Struthio camelus: one gene and its partner. Each later gene encodes a partner of the first gene's protein in a complex. Links are inferred from orthologs where the notes say so. Each region holds a gene or a part of one and is shown on either strand. Other genes may lie near its edges.

The links.
Region 2: the proteins of TJP1 (region 1) and GJC1 are in contact, whole or in part, in a crystal structure (PDB 3SHW), measured with the Homo sapiens proteins. The link is inferred for Struthio camelus from reciprocal best matches to the Homo sapiens genes TJP1 and GJC1. Residues at the interface, in NP_003248.3 of Homo sapiens: Lys429, Ser432, Val433, Gly434, Leu435, Arg436, Leu437, Gly449, Val450, Leu451, Val484, Leu487, Leu488, Leu549, Asn551, Gly552, Lys553; in NP_001073852.1 of Homo sapiens: Lys391, Thr392, Ser393, Val394, Trp395, Ile396.

Annotation. Positions count from the first base shown.
Region 1 is NC_090953.1:18,420,004-18,428,044, forward strand, and holds the start of TJP1 (tight junction protein ZO-1), read left to right. Parts: upstream 1-4,987; 5' UTR 4,988-4,993; coding exon 4,994-5,160; intron 5,161-8,041. UniProt on the Homo sapiens protein: TJP1, TJP2, and TJP3 are closely related scaffolding proteins that link tight junction (TJ) transmembrane proteins such as claudins, junctional adhesion molecules, and occludin to the actin cytoskeleton.
Region 2 is NC_090966.1:752,818-760,155, forward strand, and holds the start of GJC1 (gap junction gamma-1 protein), read left to right. Parts: upstream 1-4,108; 5' UTR 4,109-4,216; intron 4,217-4,783; exon of another isoform or gene 4,784-6,447; intron 6,448-7,338. Other genes in the region: EFTUD2 (116 kDa U5 small nuclear ribonucleoprotein component), read left to right, coding at 82-177. UniProt on the Homo sapiens protein: One gap junction consists of a cluster of closely packed pairs of transmembrane channels, the connexons, through which materials of low MW diffuse from one cell to a neighboring cell.

The DNA of each region.
Region 1 (8,041 bases):
CCTATTTAATATGTCATAAAAAGAGCAACAAATTTAATGCTTGCTTTAGTTCTAATATGGTTTTGACAGCCTAAGAAATTGATGCATTCAAAGGCTTAAATTCTGTCATTGAAGCCTAATCTACCCTCAAAAGTTGCTGCTATGCCATTACAGTAGTAATAAAGATGACATTTATTCTGGTAAGAGTTTTTTTGTTTTGTTTTGTTTTGTTTTGTTTTGTTTTACAGACCATGTAGCTTATACAGGTTTGCTGAACAAAATGAACTATAGCAATAAAACAGAGTATTTTTGATTGTTCACAAGCACAGCTCTGCCAGCTAGAGGTGGGGTTTCTTTTTCCTCATATTATTGCAAAAAAATTACATTATCTGAAAGACCTTTCAGTGTAGCCTAGACCTTAAGAAGTGCATTTCTGTAATGTCTCAAAAGAGTCTTTTGAGTCAGGCCTAAATTTCTTCTCCTCATGTGATCTCAGTCAAGACTGCGTGATGCAGGTAACATGTGGAAAGGGGTGGCTCCTAGTGACAGCTGGCACTGTGGGGATGTGTTATGTGTTAATGGTAAAGGAAAGAAAGTCGAGAGTTTTACTGTCCCTTTTATTCCAACAGGCTTACTGAAACCAGCTCTTCTAAAAACAGCAATAGATAATACTGTAAAATTTTCCTTTTAAGTACCTTGAATCTCATATATATTCTAGCGATATTCAGATTGAAAAAATGAGAGGTGCAACTCAGGGAGAACAGAGCTTTAGGCCACAATTATACTCCCTTACTCTTAGCTGCTCTGCAGCTGATGGGAGCCCTCAGTTGCTCTACGTCATAGCTAGCCACTCTCCTACAGCTGACAATAGCCTACTCTCCAGCTAGAATAAACATATTATCATGACTGCAGTTTGGGTCAAAGACACATTTATTTAGGTATAACAGTCATACTGAAGAAACTCCTTTTGTAACTCATAAATGTCTAGACAGAGGAGTCTGTTCTTTCAGAGCCAAGAAGTGTACAGGAAGGTCATAGCAGGGGCAGGCTTCACAAGAGACAAGGGCAACAGAGATTGTAAGCAACAGACTATAGAGTTTGTTGTGAAGTAAAGCATACAGTTAATTTACCTGAGCAAATAAAATTAAGAAATGAATAGGGCTCTGCTTGTTTTTGTACTGAAAAAACTCCTATGAATCAACTATATTAACCTGAAGTAATCTAATAGGAATTAAATTGTTTCTAAAACGCATGCTATGTCTGAAAAAAATGTAAGCTGCTTTCAGCTTTATGACCTGTAGTGAAGGAGAGTGTATCTTGCCAGACAGAACGAGTCTGTACAGAGAACAGTAAATATGCTCAGAGCATCTCCACTGCAGGGATAGCTACCGTATAAATTCTGGCCATAGCTCAGCTACGGGGCCGCACAAGCCTCGGAGGTAACAGTGGGATGTTTGGATACTTACCCTAATCGGGAAGCTGCTGATTGACTGCTGTTAAAAATAGGCAGTTCATCTGAAAGACAAGAAAAACAGGATCTTTTTACTCTTTCAGCTATATAGAAGATCTGTGCTTAAAACAGGATGCCCTGAAAGGAGGCATATAATGGAGCAGCACTAAGACAGAGCAGGTATGACAGAAACAGAAGAGGAATTAAAATTAGAGGATAACATGTCTTCATGAATATCTGGTTTTGTCTCTACAATATGCATCAAGGAGTATGATGATGATACATAAAACTGACAAAACCAATTAATAAGTTAGTCTCAGATTAACAGAGTATGATCAATGAAAATGATAAGAGTTAAATCTGAAATAACTAATTATTTTGCAAATGTAAATAGAATTAGGAATTCCAATTTAAGTAAGAATGGGAATCAAATTATAGGCTCTTGAAGAAGGCGAGTAAAGACTGGAATATGCAGCCAGACTCCAACATAGAGTCTTCGTGCAAATTTTTGCCTGTGCATTTCTTAACTCCTTTGTACACAGATGCTGAAAAGAAATGCATGTTTCAACTCTGATACTGTAAAAATTGAAAAAGCCATGTTTTGGGCTCAGAGTCCCTTCATCAGGTAAGGAACTCCAAAAGCTTACCCGCTTCTTCCTGTTATATTAGCTTTCAAAGAAACTTTGCTTCCCTTGTATCCTTAGACCGCCTTATCTACAAAATTTCTAACACTATAACTCTATGAAAGTCTTACCATACGACTGCATTTTTCTTTCAATAATTTCTATATCAAATATGAAACAAGATTAATATATGTTTTTCTAACTGCTAGGTATCACATTCAAACTGAAATGTGAAATTCAAACAGTTTCAGTTATAATGCAGCTAACATTCTGCTATTGATGCCAAGAATAAAATCCAGCCCACACTCATTCTCCCACTACTTATGTGGGCACCATATATTTCTTCAGTCAGCTAATGACTGTGGATACACAGAAGAAGAAAGCAACATGTCAGTTTTACAGTTCTTCTTTCTAGTCACATTTTAAGGCAAAACAAATCTCTAAAGGTTTTCAGATTCATTTGATGATCTGTCTACAGAAGATATAGACTGTCCATTCAATATACCTCAAGCTTTAGCTACATTTAACCTTCCTAATGATTTCAAGTTGACTGACCCTCATTGTTTTTAATGCTCAATCTCTCAAAAGACAACCTGCAAAGAGTATCTTGAGAGCTAAAAATGAGCAAGCTTGTGTTGGGACATTGAGTTGGCATTTGAATTTTTAAATCATCTGTGACACAGAATTTCAGGACATTTCTATATATCTCCAGTTTCTTGACTGAAAAAACAGAACCGTCCAAGTCATTAACCATAGTAATACAATTACTATGATATGTTTCTAATTAGAATCTTTTGTGCTTACGAGTAACATATTGATCTTCTCTGTCTCCTGCTTAACAGACAGGTCTTTGGAGAATGTAGTCTACTACAGTCTTAGGTACATATTACCTATAAAAAAGGAAGAAAAATAATGAAATTCTAATCTTTGAGCCTTAAAGTGACAATGCTGTTCACAGTATTTTTCCTAGTTAACAGTGCCAGCTTAATTCATCCACTCTGAGTATTGCAATTCATACAATTTACATGATAGCATCTTCATGAAAACTTGTCACTTCTGTAAGGATTTGTTTATACCTGCATTCTGCAAAACGCATACATGCTGAAACAGTACTGGGGCTGCCAAAATGCCCCAGCCGGTATCAAAAGAGCTTAAACATCCCCTAGTCTTTGATAACCTTGGGAGGAGGCAACAGAACTTTAGGCACTGAAACTTTTGACACTCAACTGCCATTTCTCACCAGAAGCATCAGAACAACTTCTATAGCACAACTCGAAAAAAGTTTTACCTGTTTTAGCAGGTTTACCATGTTATTTTAGATGTTTTGTATGTGGGTTAAGCATAATTTGAAACTTTCTGTTCGAGTACGAATTCACCATGCTGCCTTTACCCAAAGTATTTCCCACTACTATTGATCAATGTGTCAGCTAAGTGCTATCCTTCACTTCAGTGATGTTTGTACTGTAGCGGATTTCTTTGATCTTATTGTAGTATGGTTTAGAGTGAATCCTGAATGCACTTGTCAAAAACCATGACCACCTATGGCTCTTAATACTGGACTTTAGGAGAAAGGCGCGAAACAGATTAATGCTGTAACGATAATTCAGTGTCGCACCTACGGCCACTACACACTTATGTTTTCAGCTATTTTTGTCACAGTAGCCAGGAGGCAGGCACCCACCTAGAAAACATTTAATATTTTTAGTTTGATTTAATCACCATCTGATTTCCAAACACACGTTAGTTGTTTTTCTCATGTGAAAGAAGAGGGAATGATGTTTATGTCGTCTTGCCAGTAGACTCACTAGGCTTTGCACGTGCGACTTCACAACCCAGTCACTTAGGGGAGGTGCGGAGGAGGGTGCCGCAGTGGGGAGCTGCTCTCCAGCCACCTCACACCCGGAGTCTTTTCTGAAGGTGGCTTGGCTGGTGGCACGGCTCCCGCTGCAGCGCTGGCCTGCTGGCCCATCCTGGCTGCCTCCACACCTCACCTCCTGCTCAGACCCTTGCTCCCCTCACGCTCATCCTCACCTCACCTCGCCTTCAGATTGCCTCATCGTCACCTCGCCTCACCTTCGGGCTACCTCAGCCTCACCTCACCTTCTTCCTCACCTCGCCTTCCTCCTCTCCTCAGCTCGCCTCTGTTCTCGTCGTCTCATCTCACCTTCGTCCTCACCTCACTCTCACCTTCCCTTCATCTCCACACTCACCTCAACTTCCTCCTCCCCTCACCTTAACCTGGCCTTCACCCCACCTCGCCTCGCCTCGCCTCGCCTCGCCTCGCCTCCGCGCCCGCCCCGCCGCTCACCTCGCCTCGCGCCGGGGCTCAGCGGGGCCCTCGCCGCCCCCGGGGCCGCCCCCGGTGCGGGGGCGCTCGCCTCCGCAGCCCGGCACAGCTGACCCAGGGGCGGCCGCGCCAGCGGCGGGCGCGGCGTGAAGACTGCGATAAAGCGGGGCTATTCTAGGCGCTAATGGGATGAGCGGCGCGGCGGGCTGCGGCATGGCGCCGCTCTGATGGCGGGCGGGAGGGCCGGGCCGGGCCGCGCGGCCGCAGGTAACGGGCGCGGCGGGCCCGCTCGTGCGGGGGGAGGGGCGGGCCGGGCCGGGCTGCGGGAGGCGGCGCAGGTGAGGGGCGACGGGCCGGGGCCGGGGCGAGGAGCGGGAGCGGGAGGCGGCGCGGGGGGAGGGCTGGGCGCGGGAGCGAGGCGGGAGGAGGAGGAGAGCGTCAGGCGGAGCAGGGATGGAGGGAGCGCGGCGGGGGGCGGAGGAGGAGAGCGTCAGCTGGGGGCAGAGATAGAGGGAGTGCGGCAGGAGGAGGAGGAGAGGAGCGTGAGCTGGGGGGGCAGAGGCAGAGGGAGCGCGGCAGGAGGAGGAGGAGGAGGAGGGGAAGAAGCGCGACGCAGGGACGGCAGATGCCTGGAAATAAAAATTTGATGATTGCATGCAGCGGCTGGAGAGACTCTGTCGGTGGCGGCGGCGGGGACGAGGCAGGGACAGGGGGGGCGACGGCAAAATGAAGTATCAGAAATACCTGACTGTCTTGCAGATGGCCATAGGGGTGACCGCCTCCAACCGGGGCAGTCTGATGCCCTTAAAGAGGAAGCTGTGGTGAGTAGGCACGGCAGGGGCCGGCGGCACTGCGGGCCGGGGCGGCGGGCGGCGGCGGCGGCCGCGGGGCTTTTTCCTGACAGGAATAACGGCTGCGCGGGCAGCGGCGCGCTGGAAATCCGGCCCGGCGCCGCGGCAGAGCGGGCCTCGGGCGCCCGGCCGCATCTCCCCGGCGGAAAGTTGGTGGCGGATCCAGCGATGGGGCTGGGGCGGCGGCGGCGGGGGCGAGACGCTGCCCGGGCGCCCGCCATCGCGGGCTGCAGCGCGGCCGGCGGCGCGGCGCTCCCGCCCGCCCGGCCCTCCTGGCGGCTGCCAGGCCCCTCGAGGAAGGCGCGTTGTCAGGCGCTTGCCGGAGCGCGGCGGCGGCCCCGGTGTTCCCGCTGAGCGCGGTGCCTCCCCCGCGCTGCCCGGCGGCTGCCGCCCGGCAGGTGCGCTTGAGGCGGCGCGCCACGGACAACACGCTTTCGCCGCCTTCCCGCTGGTTTTGTGCTTGCTGGTGGGGGGCGCTGAACTGGCGCCCGGCGGTGGAGGGCCGGCTGTGGCAGCCCCCCCGGCAGCGGCGGGACGCGCGTCCGCGGCAGCGCTGACAGCGGGGGGGAAATGTGGGAACTGGCCGCGTCTTCTGGAGGGGGAAGCAGCGAGAGCGTTTCTACACGGGGTGGTGGTGGTGGTGGTGGTGGTGGTGGTGGTCCTGCGGTTCCCTGTCGCTGCCCTTGTGCGTCCGCGTAGGGAGCGGGGTGTCAGCGAAGGGGCGAGAGCCCTGCTGCTTAGACGGGGTCACTCACGAGTGGAAGGATGTCCGTGGCAGCGACGGCAGCACATGCGGATCTTCCATGCGCTGCCCGATTGGGGTTTTTTTTCATGTTATCAGCCGGCGTAGACAATGTCAAGGAAATACAATTGAAGAAACAATGTGGAACTAATAAGCTGCCTGATATTCATTCCAAACCTTGATGTATTACTTGCAGAAAATAAAACGACTGGACATATCCTATTCATATTAACTGTAACATACAAAATCAAATCTAGTCCTAAACAAAAATATGCTGTCATGCAGATAACTTCTATTACCTTTAATCGAATCAAAGGATTTTAGACTGTACTCAGTGCTTTGATTTTGATTATGTAAGTTACATAAAGTGCTACTACCCTACCTCTCTTATTCTCCTAAAGTGACATTCCTGTCAGTGCGCAGCAGTGTGCGTGTTGATATATTATTTCTTTTAATATTTGAATTGTGTAACACAGTGCTAGCTCTTGTGCCATATCGTATTTCCTCTGTCTTCTTGGAAATGTCGTCTTTGCTGACAAATTAAAGTGAAACTATCGATATTTGCGCACTTTAAAAAGTAAGTCTGGAAGGACCTGATACAACTCCCACTTGATGCCTTCAGTTGGAATGTAATCAGCTCTGTATTGCCTAGTTTCATGGTGAGATTCTGTGCTTTTTGAGGGATATCAAAACACTGTAATGGATCCCAAATAATACATGCTATAAGCACTGAATGTCTTAACATTTGTAGCTTGTCTTCGTGTTATTACAATGCTGTGCTGTATACAGATTTAAATGACTTAAGTGTTAGGGATAAATAAGATAAATTTTTTTTGCAGTAGAGATCTATATGAATTACTTAAGCATTTGAGAGTGTGTCTATGGGATATTTTTATTAATAGGTGACATGATATTATGTAGTCACATTTTCTTAGGGAACTTGGATAGCATTATCTGCATAGGTAGAATTTATGCTTGTGGATGAAATAGTATTTTTTTCTGATGCATTTAGAGAAATGCGTAAGGATAATTTGTCATGGCTTTTTTTTATTTGCTTTTAGTCTGTATGTATACTGTTCTTAATGCACACATTAAAGAAAAGCAAATAATAGGGAGGTGAGTATATTTTTATGACTAAAATCAAGGCAACATAGTGTATATTGCCAGCCCGGAAAGCAAAGATTTGTTCCAATGCCATATCACTGGGAACCTCCAAAATACATAAAGAAAATACATAAATCAAGTCAGCTTGCAATCAGAGGATGCTAAGACTTTATTTTTATTTATTTAAAAAAAAAAAAGAATGATGGCCATTCAGATTCGTAAGTTGCTTGATGTGTTAGTACATATTGTAAGTGGAAGCAAAACATATAATTTAATAAAAAAGGTTTAAAATACTTTTTGTTGGTGGAGATAATCCACCTGAATCCTACTGAATGAAAATGAAAAAGGTAGCAGCGATGGTCTATTTCTTTATAGAGCATCTGCCACTCTAATTTCCTCTGACTTGCCCTCCAAAATGTGAGTCCTGTTCTCTGATTTACCAAAGCACAGCTACAAATCAAAACAAAAAAGATGGACCCTGATTGGTATAAACTAGCTGGGAATAAAACGAACAGAAAATTGGACAAAAAAGGAAGGAAGCTGTGCCCTGGGCTTGCAGCTGGAAGTGCTGGAGCCAGAAACTTAACTGTGTTTAATGTGGAGTTTGATCATTTTATGAAGAGGTTTACCTGGTGTAGTAGAGTTCTGCGCTCGGTGATCAGGGAAGTTGCTGGAGTCCCGATTTGCTGATTCAGACCCTGTTCGGTGTCTATGTTGTAATCTAATATGTAGAAACCAGAAATGAGATGAGTAGGATGTTTTTAATCTTACTGCAGAGTTTAACAAGTCAGTAAGCTGTCTTCAGGGCACGAGTCGCCTTCCAGATCAGGGCAGAGACAACATGAGAAGCTTGCACTATTTCTGTCTATTTTGTACCTGTTTTCTGCACAGACAATTTTCTTTTCTGAGGTTGTCCAATAACGTTTCTTAGCAGCACTGCCTTTATTTTCTCTACAATAGAGTGTTACCTGGTTCATTATATTTAAAACAGTTGTCAGAGGTGTG
Region 2 (7,338 bases), on another chromosome or scaffold:
AATGGGGTCTCTGCCAGGGTGGCTGCACAGGTGCTGCCTGCTCCATAAGCACTTACCTCGGGCTTTGCAATTACTCCGCAGGGCTTGAGTGAGGACGTGAGCATCAGCAAGTTCTTCGACGACCCCATGTTGCTGGAGCTGGCCAAGCAAGATGTTGTTCTCAACTATCCCATGTGAACATGCTGCATCAGCTGCTGCATCGTGAGGGCTGACCTGAGTCCTGGATGACATCTGCCTGCTCTTCCCCATCCCTGCTTGCCCAGCCCGGGCTTCTGGATGCTCCTGGTAGGCAGGGAACTGCTCCTCAGATCGCTCCTCCATGGCTGAAGTCTCCCTGCCTGGGTATTCGCAGGCCCTGGGTAAGGAGCAACCCAGAGCAAGGATGTGTTTTGTATTACTAGTATTCAGCAATGGTGGCCTCCAGCGAGGAGGTTTTCCCTTTGGACATGCTCTCTTCAGGCACATGTGTTATTCCTTGTGTGGCCCCTGCTGCTGCAGAGCAGCCTGAATATAATGTTAAGATTACTAGGGACAGAGTGTAAACGTATGTCAAGCATCTGAGCTGGGGTCAGCCCCTGTACGTGCTTCTGATAACGCTGCCCCGCTCTCCTGGCTGCCAGTGGGGTATTTTGCCTTGAGCCGAGCATGTCTTATGGCAGCTTGAGGAAGGGGAAAATGCTGTTTTTTGTGGGGATGTGCTCCCACCAGCCTTCCCAGGAGAAATGGGAAGTCTGGATTTTACCTTTTTTGTACAAGTTTTTCTGAGCCCTTGTAAACGTTTAATACAAACTTCCAGCCAGGGCTCTGTGTGGTCACTCTGAGGGACCAGAGGGCTGGGAGAGGCTCTGCCTTCACTGGTGCTTAGAGTGGGCAGCCATTGCCATGATTCCCCTGCCTTTGCTGCTGCCCCCGATCCTGCTGCTCCTGGCACTGCCATACCACTCCACAGGTGCTCCGCATCCAGCAGCAATTCTGACCCAGCTCTCATGTCCTGCTTACAGTAGCTAATTGACCAGCCAGTCCAGACCATCCTGCCTGGTCCCGTACTCAGATTTTCTTCCTTTCTCACTGTTTTTGGGGCTGCAACTCTGTTTTCAGGGCATTCCATTAGCTGCCCACGGTCTGAAAGGCTTTTCGTGCTCTCTCTCTCCCCTATCTTAGCTCCCTGCTCTGCTCCCTGGCTAACTCAGCCCCTTGTCTGCTCCCCAACCTGTGCTGTGAAAGTAGGGGGAGGTTTAGTGCGTGGACTATGCTGCTAGGTGTAAAGAGGCTAATACGGAATGTCCCTGGCCCCTGCGGCCCATGAGGCTCTCCCTGATAGCTGTGTGCTGTAAATCCAGGCTCTGCTCTGGGACCTTGCTGTGCTCTCTGCCTCCTGGCGCTGCTCCCAAGGGGCAGCTGCCCTGCAGCACCTCTAAGGCTCTTCCCAAATTGACTTGAGCCTGTGGCCCTTGCCTGGGATCCACCATCCAGCATGTAGGCTGCTTGCGGGTGGTCTGAGCTGGGCACGTCCCGAGCATGGGCTCAGGCTGAGACAGCCAGGGTGCTCAGCCCCCTGCCGTGGGGCTGGAGGTCCACAGGGCTCCCAGCTGAACAGGAGCCAGTCTGGACACAACTGTGGTCTTCGTATCTCACGGCTGTTAAACTCCTGTAGGGCCCAGGGCAATCATCTCAAAGGGTATAGGGCCTTACAGAGGAGGATGGAGGCTCTCTGGGACCGAAGACCTCAGTGAGAGCAGCCGCAGAGTCTGTGCTAGGGGCAAAACTGGGATTTCCACATGCTGGGGTTTTTTTTTCAACCCAAGAAGCATCCTCTTTTGTGTCTTCTTGCCACCATCCCTCCACCACCATTTTGGTGCTATGGGAGCGCAGCTTGGCGCTGGTCAGCCGCTGGGAGAGCCTGGGGATTCAGGGCTGGCTTTGGCTGCAGTGCCCAGGAAGAGACAGGGGTCAGTCCTTGTACACAGCCCCAGCTTAAAGGCTGCCCCGAGTCAGTGCCGAGGGGCTGATGATGTTTCTCGGTGTGATGTACTGGATTCGGCTGTAGCAGCCTGTGTGCTGCCAGCACACGCATCCATCATGCTCCAGTCCCAGAGATGCCTCTAAGGGTTAGCCAAAGCGCAGCTTGCCGCAGAGCATCCCTGCTCGGAGATGGGCTCGGGATGGCTCATGGCAGTGTGCAGCACCGCAGCAGAGCTGTAGGTACCTGAAGGTGCAGCTGAGACCTTCCCCAACCCTCTCACAGCAGCTGGCAGCTGTAGGGCGATGTAGGGCACTGTGGCCTAGTGCCTCCCAGTTTCCAGCAGGCCTGGGCTCACAGAGGCATGGAGAAGCCCTGGAAAGGAAGCAGCCCCATGGAAAAGCATCCTGCCAGCCCACGGAAAGAGTATTGCATGGGATAATTCAGCAGGGTTTGGAAACCAGCAGGAAAGCATTTCCTGCCGCTGCCCGTGAACAAAAGCCTGGCCGGGCACACCTGGGAGGATGCGCTGCCCCATCGCATCCGTGCAGCAGGTGGGCTCGAACCGGTGGCCTGCGGGTGGGCTAGCGGCATAGGGGCGGCTGGGGGGGGGCTCCAGCCCTATCTCTTTGCTCAGCCTTTTCCTGTGGGGCAGCTCCAGGAGGTGCCCCAGCGCTGCCCGCGTCCGACCCAGCACCACGTCCTCGTCGCAGTCCGGCTGGGGAGGCTCAGCCCCCTCCTGCTGCCGATAGGAGCATCGGCACCTATTTACACCCCGGCTGGGCGCCAGGATGTGGCTCAGCTCCTTGGAGCAGCAGTCTCGGCGGCCGTGGGAAGGGAGCTGGTTCTCACGCAGGCCGTTCCCAGCGGCCGGCGCGGGCAAGCGCGGCTGGAAAACGCTGACCCACGGCACCCGGGGGCCTGAGCGGGGAGATAAGCGGCCATGCGAGCGCTCGCAGCCGTGACGCCGCAAGAGCCACCCTGCTGAGCCGGCTGGGAATTTTCCGTGGAAACGGCCAGTCCCTGGGAAATGCCCTGACCCCACGGCCTCGTTGGGCCGGGCTGGAATTCGCCTGGTGGCTGATCCTTGCTTGCAGGCCGCAGGCTCGCAGCAGCGACCTCCTTGGCGTTCGCTCCAGGCACGCAGGGATAAGCTCGAAGCCAGTGTTTTAGCAAAACCATTTCGCCCTTTGCCTCTTCTCGCCCCTGGCTGGAAAGATGCTGGGAAACCCTCCCTGCGCCCCAGCACGTGGAGTCAGCAGAGTGCTGGCAGCCGCAGGCCCTCCCCTGCCTTGGTTTCCAGGCTTGCCAGGGGAGCGGGATCTATCCTTGGCATGAGCTGGCCAGGGCTCAGCAGCGGGAGCCAGCAGCGAACGCCCCCATCCGTCCAGGCATGGCTCTCCAGCAGCCTGCTTTCGGGGGCGACCCCATGCTGGCAGGTGACCCCACGTTCTGGCCACAGGTCGCAGCCAGAGGTGCACGCAGGGTCGTACTTAGGGTTGTGCACAGGGTGTATATAGAGGTACGCACCCAGGCTGTACCTGGGGCACGTGGCCACGGCAGCACCCAAAGCACCCAGGAAGGGCAGCTGGGGACCAGCTGCCGATGGAGTGATGACAGAGGGCGCAGCTCGAGCCGGGGAGCCTGGGGATGCCCTGCCAGCGAGGCTGTCACAGAGAGGCGCAAAGCTAACAAGCGTGGCGGCGCCTGCACCACCAGGCCTGCCCGGCCTGCCCCGCTCCCGGTGCAAGGGGTGGACGCGTTCCCCTCAGGCACCGAGCTCCTTGCCAGCCCCGGCAGGTTTGCCACGGCTCCTGCAACGAGGCTCACTCGGCGGGGTGCACAGGGGTGCGCAGCACGCCCAGGCCCGTGCGGCTTGTGACGCTTGCAGGTGCATCGTGCGCAGCGCCAGGCCTGCAGGCCACGCGGCGCCGCTTTGCAGAAAACGTTTCCTCGGCGCGGGCGCGCGCCACGCGTGGGGGCGGCGCCCGGCGGCCCGCGCGCGCCGCGGCACGTGGCGGCCGGGTCCTCGCGCCGCGCGTACCGCCGCCGCCGGCGGGGCCGCCTGCGCGGGGCTCCCGCGCGCTGCGCCGGGTTGGGGGGGGGGGGGGCTGCGCGCATGCGCCCCGCGCCCCCTCCCCGGTTGGGGGCAGCGGTCGGCGAGCCCGCCGCGGCGGCGCGCGTGGGCAGCCGAGGGGAGGCTGCGGGGCTCCGCCGGGATCATGCGCTGGAGCCGCGGGGGGCAGCGGCGGCGGCGTGAGTGAGGAGGGCGGGAGTCCGCGGACCGAGACCGGAGCCGGGACCGACCCTCCCAGCTGCTCTGAGGGGGCACCGCGAGGGAAACTTCCCGCGCCAGCCCGGGGCTGAGGGGAGGCGGCGGCCGAACGGCCGTTGGGCTGAGGGGGCGGGGGGCTGAGGGGACGGAGCGGCCGTTGGGCTGAGGGGGCGGGGGGCTGAGGGGACGGAGCGGCCGCTGAGCCGGGGCGAGGCGGGGGCTGAGGGGACGGAGCGGCCGCTGAGCCGGGGGGAGGCTGAGGGAGCTGGGGCGAGGCGCGGGCTGAGGGGACGGAGCGGCCGCTGGGCCGGGGGGAGGCTGAGGGAGCTGGGGCGAGGCGCGGGCTGAGGGGACGGAGCGGCCGCTGGGCCGGGGGGAGGCTGAGGAGACCGAGCGGCCGCTGGGGCGAGGCGGGGGCTGAGGGAGCTGCCGCGGGGCCGCGCGCCCTCCGCCGCCCCGGAGCCGGCAGGCCCCGCGCTGGCTGCCGGTCGTGCCTATGTCAAGCGTCTGCCGTGGGCTGGCGGCTGGGGACGGACCCTGGGGGGGAAACGCGCTGAGCCTGAGCCGTGGGGCAGCCGTGCCCGCGCGTCCCCGCGGCCGGAGCCGTCGTCTTTGTCCTTCCCAACTTGCCCGGCGGGGCGCAGCCCGCCGTGCGGCCGGCGCCGCGTACGAGGGAGCTGGGCGGCCGCGATGGGCTCTCGCCGTCGCCGGAGACTGGTTTGGGGCGCAGTTGGGTCTCGGGTTGGTGGCGCTTGCTTTTAGTCATGGCTATTTCTAGTGTGTTCTTCCGAAATGAAGAAATAAAATACCTATTTACAGCTTTTTGCTATTAGAGAGAAATATCCTGGGTGCTGGTAGTTAAGACTCTTCAGCGTTTTTACCAATCCAATACTAAAATTTCCTGCTTTGTATGATGCAAGTGTTAGTTCCATGTAACAGGTATTTTTTTCTTTAAGAGACACAGCCTCATATCTGAGCATCTATGAGTAAAAGCTGTGTAGTTATCTTTTAGAAAGGCTGCAGTGCCATTTCGCTCCCTCAGTCTGGCAGGATGGTGCTTGGCAGATCCCAGAGCTTGATTTGATCTGTGAGCATTCAGTCCACAGTTAAAGATTTTAAAGGTTAGAAATCAGTAGCTCGTTATGAGCTCTGTGTATTTACTTTGTGCAAGTAAATGCTTATACTACTGTTGATATTCTAAGTTAACCCCATGTCAACCGAACTTCAGCTGCAGCAGTGCAATTTGACACTGCTGTGTGGTCAGTCTGAAGACACAGAGTACTAGGAGAAACATTCTGCCCCTCTGTCAGCTCATGGTAATTTTGTTATGAAAGTTTTGGCTTCTGTTAGGCCTCACTTTGGTGAGGGGAAAACAAAAACCATGCATTTGACAATTGATTATTCTTGTTCTCTGTATTTCTATGTTTTCTGCGCACTGTAAGTAAAGGAGAACTAGCAGAAAAAATTCTCTTCCTTTGGGTCAGAAATCTATTTCACACTGATGTTCAGTGAATCAGCTGTGTGAATCAGTTACTGAAATCCACCTTTCCTTTATTCAGATTATTTAGAAGAGGAAAGCCATTGTTTTCTGTCAAGACTTGTGTTTAAGGAAATGGAAGATGCTATTCTCCTTATCTTTTATTCTTTCCCAGAATATGTTAAAGTTACGCTTGTGTTTTCCTGGGGGAACAAATAAGCTCCGATCTCCTATACGAAGCCAGATATGTAAGAATTTTTTTTAAGAAAATTACAGATTTACAAGTAATTTGAGCATTATTATGCCATTCCTTATTCCTTCCATGTGACTACAAACAGCTGAAAGTTCTGCATTTGCAGAAATCCTAAAATTAACTTCAGCATTTCCGCAGCTCTGAATAAGAAAGAGGGGACAATATGTGTTTCTCCTCGTATGTTCTCATAACTGAAACAGATCTCAGGGGGTTGACAGTGGGTGGGGTGTACTATTACATGTTTTCTGTGTCTGACGAATGCGCAGGCTGCATAGCATCAGTTGTTCTCCACTCACTGGTCAGTGGTAAAAGCTCATAACTAGGAGATGATCTTGGTGTTTGAAGCCAGGGAAGAGTACTTTGAATGCAGTGACTTACAGCATGTAAGTGCAGATAACCTGAAACACAAGATTTGGGAGCCGGCTCTGATCCTTTTATGGCCAGAGGTTTTCTACCATGTCTGTAGTTGAGAAGAAGGCAAGGTAAGGAAATTACAGGGCTCAGAGCAAAAGTTCAGGTGCATTGAAGCTGGTTGATTGCGCGTTGAGGCTGGGCACAATGGCCATGTGCTGTGGCTGAGTTTTATACTGAGTTTGGAGATCTGTCCTGGAAATATTTTTACGGTTCCTTGTAAGAATGATCCTTTTGCAGTGTCTTTCTCTTTTGAACAACTGTACCTTGACTGTAAGCATTTTCTGAATTGAAATGGCAAAGGATTGGGCAAAACAGAAGGATGAACATATTATAATAAGTTTTGGCAGATATGTTTGAAGGCTTGTGTTGATTAAAATGAAACTTATTTTACAAGAGCATCTCACTTTTTTCAACCATATTGAAAATGTGTTCAGTTACTATTTGTTACAGATTCTTCTGTTTATCACCCAGCTTCTCTTATCCTTGCAGTGGCTTTTTAAAACCGGCTTTGTCATGTTTCAAATCAGCTTAAATTTTGAAAAGTTATTAAAAAAAATTAATGACTGGCTGTACTCTTGTTAAAGTGACTACCTCTAATACTTTTTTAGTATTATTTATTATATTATTTATTATTATTTATTATATATTAAAGGTATAGAGTATAGTAAAAGTATAGTGAAAGTATAGAGTAAAATTGCAAGTTCTATCATATTATCACTGATTCAGTAAAGCTTGAATTATTGGTAATAGAAAACCTTTTGATTTAAATAAACTGACAATAAATATATGTTTTTTAAATTGGTGCAGCAACGTAAAAGTTTTTTGTTGTTAAAAAAGCTACTTTAAAGGTCTGAATGCATGATTATAAATGACGATTATCGCAAAGCATCTGTTTTCTAGATGGATTCCATAGGTACCCCTTCTTATCCCCTCATTAGTGAATATTTTTATCCGTTATT